Oryzias latipes: one gene and its partner. The protein of the gene in region 2 interacts with the protein of the main gene of each other region in a pairwise test. Links are inferred from orthologs where the notes say so. Each region holds a gene or a part of one and is shown on either strand. Other genes may lie near its edges.

Region 1 (3,608 bases), on a different chromosome or scaffold from region 2:
TTTTTTGGACAGTGGGAGGAAGCTAGAGTCCCCAGAGAAAACCCATGCATGCAAACTCCACATGGAAGGATCCCCCACTGGTGGATCCCCCACCCCAGGCTTTGAACCGGAGCCTTTTTGCTGTGAGGCAAGAGCGCTGACTACGGCGCTGCCGTGCAGATTTAGAGGATTTGATTTTTTTTAAAACTTCTAATCATTTGTTGTTCCTAAAGTGCACTGAACTCTTGAGCTTCTGGGAATCTTAAGTTGAGCTCATAACATGTCATTTCCCTTGAGCTCTCTTTCCCACCCTCCTTCAATCCCGTTTTTAATTTAGTCAACTATCCAAAGCTGCTCTTTGCAATCAAGGCCTAAGCACTTGTAGAAATGCCTTCAGAAAGATGATTAAAGGCCTGACGAGAGACGACAATTTTTATGTCAAGAACAACCAAAGGTGAGATCTTTTTCCCATCGTTGCTTTTCATCATAGAAAGTTGTTTATGTAGAAAAAAATATGATGACATAAATTCTCATCTTTTTCCTTGAAATGTGTTTTTTGTCAGAGTGGCAGAGATCATGAGAAAAAAGATGATATTCCAAATCAGTGGAATATTACTGAATCTGAAATCTTAACCTGCTAGTAACAAAAATAGATACATAAAAATGGTTGACCAGAGTATTAGAGGATTTAGGAAGTGATTGGGACATGGAGAGAGGAGCAAAGAGAGAATAGTGTCGTGCAACCACACTTGGATTATCTACTTTTGACCAGCAGGAATAAGATGCACAGCCACCTCACACAGCCGTTCTTCTCTATAGCAACACATTCTGCTTGCAGTCACAAAGATGGCTGGGGTTTTCTTAGGAAGCAGGAAAAAGACTGCAGAAATCAAAACATTGCATGTATTTATCAGTTTACTCATACTTTGTGTAAGTTTTTGACCCACACTAATTTCATTTGAAAACATCTATTTTCTAAAACAAAAATGTTAAATATTCAGTTTATAAAAGTATTTTGACATGGAATGTTTTTGTTGAACAAGTGGTCCAAGGTTTTAAAAATGGGTTATGGCACTTTAAATAATTAAATACATAAATAAAAATAGGAAAGAAACAACTTACTCACTTCTCATATACTAACCTAAAATTAAACCAATTTTTACCAAAGAAAATCAGTCAGGCTTAATGTTGACAGTTACACAGATCAGAGCAACACTAAATTTTTCTGAAATTTATGTTGTTTTGACTGTTTGCCTGTAATTTGATATTTAAATAGTTCTTCGCCTTTTTTCTTATGAGAAACAGTTTTACAGCAGAGGATCTCCCAACTGAATAAAAACAAATATTGGAGGAGAAGTATGGAGGACCAGAAGAGACAAAGTAAAATAAATATGCACGCCATTAAACTGTTGAATAAACGTGTAATTAATTATTTAAAATTGAAAATCAATCAATAAATGTTTAAATATATGTGGCATTCATTCAAATATTAAAATAGCCATTGAAAACCACATTTAAATATTTCATAGTCCAGTGTGGGCTGAAAGGCACAAATTGGAATAAAAACATTTAATAGGAAATTATTAAATAAATTTACCATTAGTCATTTAAAATTGGAGATAAATAAATACAATTGGAAATCAATTTATTTTTAAATGTGAGTCATTAAAATAGCCATTAAATGCTGTTATTTCCACTGTTTTGTAAGTATCCCCAGAATTGTCATAACAAGTTTCTGTCAACAAGTATTTTCTGTGGTTGTCCCGCAAAACTCCATTGGGGGGCGGTAATGAGACCATCAACATTGTCATGTGACTTTAGCGATAAAAGCCTGTTTCCGGTTTCATGAGGTTTTTGTATGCATGGAAACCTCGTTAGACCGTAGGTAAAACATCCAAAGATGTCAGAGAAGCAGCGCGCGCTGCCTCTTTGGATGTCAAACAAAAATGTGAGGAAGAAGACGACACCTCTGAAGAGTCAAAGAAAAGGAAAAGCTGCGAGGTAGTGAGAGAAATAACACAGAATAGAATATTTCCTGCAGTGAAAATGTCCAAATATTCTGTTTCACTTTTGAATAATACACTCTGGTTTGACTGCAGGGTGCTTTTCTACTGCATGAATGAGGCCGAGCTGGTCGAAGCAGCTGTTCGATGTCTAACCAGCGGTTCCCCAATTCACCAACAGGTGGCGCTGCTTTCCCCTTTTATAATAATACTTTGAAATACTGTAACTCCAACGTTGGGGCTGCATCTATACATTAAGTGAATCGATTTTTTTTTTCTTTAAAAATTCTGCTTTTATTTATTGAGCATACTGACTTAATTCTCATGGATAAATAGTCACTATTTTTGTTAAGAGTTTGAAAATACTTTCTTTTCATACACAGATTTCTAAAAAGGGAAGCAACGCAAGAGAAAAAGTAAAGAACCCTTTGACGTCACCCAAAAGATTAAAGCAGATTTCAGAGGAAAAAGACTGGGACTGCTGCGATTACCCGGAGACGACCTATGTTTCTGAGACGGACTTGGACGTCACAGAAGTGGAAACGCTGCCGTACACCAGGAGCCCTGAGGCTGAGAGGTCACACCAGAATCAACGGACTGTGAGGAACGCCGATGCTGAAGCTGAGGGAGAACAGGAGAAACCAACAGAGGATGCAGCACATCAAGAGGACGAGGCCTTACAACTTGTGCGGGACATTTTTTTCACCTGATCACTGTTGTTGTAAATAAAATGTCTTTAAGGTAAAAGTAAACTGAAATCCTCAACATGTCATGAAAATATTGAGGTATCTTAATGTAAAGACAGCTATTTCACATTAAAGTTTAAGTTTAAAAAATATCTTACTATCAGAATTGACTTCAAACTTAAAATACAATAGAACTCCAGACTTCCTGTAGTTTTTAATGATTCTTCATCATTAACTTGGCTTGTTTCCTAATGGTCATGACATACAAAACCTCATGGGATCTCATGAGGTTACTGCAGAAAAAACCTCTCTTATGAATAAAAGCATATTGGTACTTTTTTAGTTTGTGAAAATGAAAGTCATGGCAGCTGTGATGACCCTAATGACTCAGATACTTTCTAATAAAGAACATTTGCGGTTATTGGCCTCCTGTTGTGTGAAAAAAACAGCCTTTATCAAAATGTTCATATTTAACTAGGTTGGATCAACTTATGTGTAAAATTATTTGTTTAGTCAAGTGTAAGTCAGGGGGGAAACGGTTGTACATATAGTGAAACTATTATGAAAAAGCCTTTTACTAAGGTGGTATTTGTTGTGGTTATAACACGAAAGCCCTCCTTCATTAATAACACAGAATGGACAATCACAACAAATCATTAGTTAGCAGTCTGATACTATGTGTGGGAACCAGATCTACGATTAAAAAAAAGGCCAAGTATGGACACAAAAGAACAATCCAAACTGAGAACAAACATCTGCTCCACCAGGAGAGCTTCAGTATCACCCACCGTAGGGCAGTTCATGACGACCACACCACTAAAGTGTTTATAGGAACATCTACAGTATGTATAAGCTTGAGAGCCCTGCTATAAATACTCAGCTTTAAAAAAAAAACAGCTGAAACACTACATTAAACCTATGTAATAAGATTTTATTCAAA
Region 2 (2,694 bases):
AGCTTTTCCTTTCCTAAACCTCACTTGCGTGAGAAGGAATAAACGAAAATCAGGAGTCATCACCAGCAGCAAAACAAGAATTTACAAGCTTCAATTATATTGAATTAATTTACATAAACCTTCTGTGAGTCAGAAAAAAGCAACACCTGTTCTTATTTTTTTGAATTTCAGTAAAAAAAAAAAAAAGAGAAGAATCCATGAAAAAAATGGTTTATGACAGTTAAAACCTTTCAGGTTTAGTTGATAAATGAAGTGTGAAAATCTGTAATTTATTCAAATGCAAAAGCCTAAAAGATGACGAATGTCAGAACTGGAAAAGTGGGTTTAGTGCCAAAACAACCAGTCCAGATGCTCAAAGGATTTAAACAGTATTTTTACACTTTTTTTTTAGTTTATTTTATAAAATTAAACAAAAGTTACCAGGATATATATAAAAAATAAACTTTTACAATTAATTAATTAAAATTCTCTAAAACTAAGGCCAGGTTTTGTAGTTTCTTTTCTACTTTTAGATTTTCAAACAAAATAATTACATTAAAACGGTTTTTACAACGACTTTATTTTGAAAAATTATTATATCATGACGTAGTAAAAAAAAATGAAACTACATATAAAACCGTTGCCTCCAGAAGCCAAACCTGGAAAAAGCAGGAGATAATAATCAGATTAACAAACAAGTTTTATTAAAAAATATAAAATTTCCTTAGACTCAGCCAAGGTAAATCTTAAAATCTCGGGTTAATTACAATTTTTTATTGGATTGATAATGATTGCTTTCCTAATGAATCGTAAACTAAGCAAATGGTGTAAACAGTAAAATAAAAAAATTCCAGGGTAAAACCTAAAACAATAAATACGTTAAAAAGAAAATATTTCTAGACAGGATTTCTTTTCACATTTCTGAAAACAGGTAACACAGAAAAAGCCAAAAGCCTTTCAGTAAAAAGTTAAAGATCTCCTTTTTTCCACAGGAACTTTTCATTCGTCTTCCAGAGACTCTTGCTCTCATTCTGTCCAGATTTCCTTCTGGCTGCTAGGTTGGTGTCGATACAAACTCTCTGGACTTCTTCTGGGTCTGTTAACCTGTTGATGCTCTCCTCATTGCCCTCATCCAGGATGTCCCATATGTCTCTGCGGGCTCCCTTTGGCGCCCGCGGCGGTCTGTGGACCTGCTCAGCAGTGCAGGGGCTTGAATCAGGATCGCCTGCTTCTCTTCCACCTGAAGGAGTTTTAGTCAGCTGCTGTTCCACCTTGGGTTTTGGTTTCAGTAATTCATCCAGAATGGACGTATCTCCTACCAGGTCGGTTAGAAAGGAGAACTTACTGGAAGTCCGGGTGGGTTTATGCTCCAGCTCGCCTTTCAGTGCCGCAGGGTTGGATGCTACGGCAGAGCTGAGGTCAGAAGAAGAAGGTGAATTTCTGTCTGTGCGGTTCAGGACAGCAGCAGCCGCCACGGACCCCAGACCACTGATGATGGCCTGATCCATGCCAGGACCACCCCCTGCTCTGTGGGCTCCAGAGCTGGAAACATTAGCTCTCTTTGTCCTCTTGGGTCCTCTGGCAGGGCAGACCTCCTGGTCGGTTAAGTCGGGGCTTGAAATGTTCGCCAGAGTTTGTAGTGCTTTCTTTTGTCCTTTCTTTTGCTTTCTGGGAGGTTCAAGGCCATCGTCTTTCTGGACGTCAGATCTATTTTGTGGCACAGAGACAGTATTTTGTAAACTTTGAGGTTTAGCTCCATCATTCTTGAGTCTTTTCCTGTCCCTCAAAGAGTCCTTCTGCGGGTCTTTTGGGATTGATGAAGAGGTGGCAGATGAGGTGGAGGAGAAGTTTTCTGTTATAATATTAGCAAGTTCAGGATGATTGAAGGACGTGTAATACTGTCGCAGCCATGCCAGTCTGTCAGCTGAACTTCTTTTCAGGATTTCTTCAGCAAACTGATGGACTGAGGCAAACGTGAACTTCTGTGCCATTTCCATTAGTTGTAACCTGGAGGCAAAGGACAATGACACAAAGAAAAGAGAGAAAAAGAGCTTTGTTTCAAGACAAATGGTCTGTCTTGCAAGAAAAACAACCGTATCAAGAGAGTTTTTCAATGGCAAAATATAAACAAATGTATTTCTTAAAATAAGAATTCTTGGTAATTTTACTTACCATTTTTCAGACATCCAATCTGGATGAATTACTGAAAGCATTTTTCTTACCCCATTGGCAGATTTTTTTTTGGCTTATCTCTGCCAAAATACCAGATTTTTTTTACTTATTTCTAATGGACCTGTTTTTGCAATACAGAAAGCCGTGACCCAGCATTATAAACCTGATAATGCTGAGTTACTTTAACCTTTATTAACACGGGCAAAACCAGCACACAATGGATTGGAATAAGTCATTAAAGTCTCACTCCAATCATCTTTTGATCCATTTTAAAAGCGTTCCCAGTGGTCTTTTAATCAAGGTTATGCCGTTTATAAATCAAAATAAATAAATATGTGTTGTTGTCTAGGACATAGTTTCTGCAGAGCTGTAGTAGTATGTTAGAAATTCACCTCTCAGTTGTGGGTGGGACCACAACCCTGCCCCTCTTCCCGTCACCCATAATTTTGAATATCCAGCCGTAACGTTTTGAGCCAGGTGCCAGCTCGGACGGGGAAAACAAAGACATACGTGGATCTATTTGTCTGCAAGTGGATGGATCGG

Evidence for each region.
Region 1: the proteins of ercc6l2 (region 2) and cell cycle regulator of non-homologous end joining interact in binary tests that used the Homo sapiens proteins (3 or more experiments, as listed by UniProt). The two-hybrid records come from large-scale screens. The link is inferred for Oryzias latipes from reciprocal best matches to the Homo sapiens genes ERCC6L2 and CYREN.

Annotation. Positions count from the first base shown.
Region 1 is NC_019864.2:20,240,092-20,243,699, reverse strand, and holds cell cycle regulator of non-homologous end joining, read left to right. Parts: upstream 1-1,784; 5' UTR 1,785-1,879; coding exon 1,880-1,980; intron 1,981-2,078; coding exon 2,079-2,163; intron 2,164-2,365; coding exon 2,366-2,692; 3' UTR 2,693-3,089; downstream 3,090-3,608. UniProt on the Homo sapiens protein: Cell-cycle-specific regulator of classical non-homologous end joining (NHEJ) of DNA double-strand break (DSB) repair, which can act both as an activator or inhibitor of NHEJ, depending on the cell cycle phase.
Region 2 is NC_019867.2:8,857,158-8,859,851, forward strand, and holds the end of ercc6l2 (DNA excision repair protein ERCC-6-like 2), read right to left. Parts: intron 1,987-2,694; coding exon 948-1,986; 3' UTR 662-947; downstream 1-661. UniProt on the Homo sapiens protein: Promotes double-strand break (DSB) end-joining and facilitates programmed recombination by controlling how DNA ends are joined in a spatially oriented manner during repair.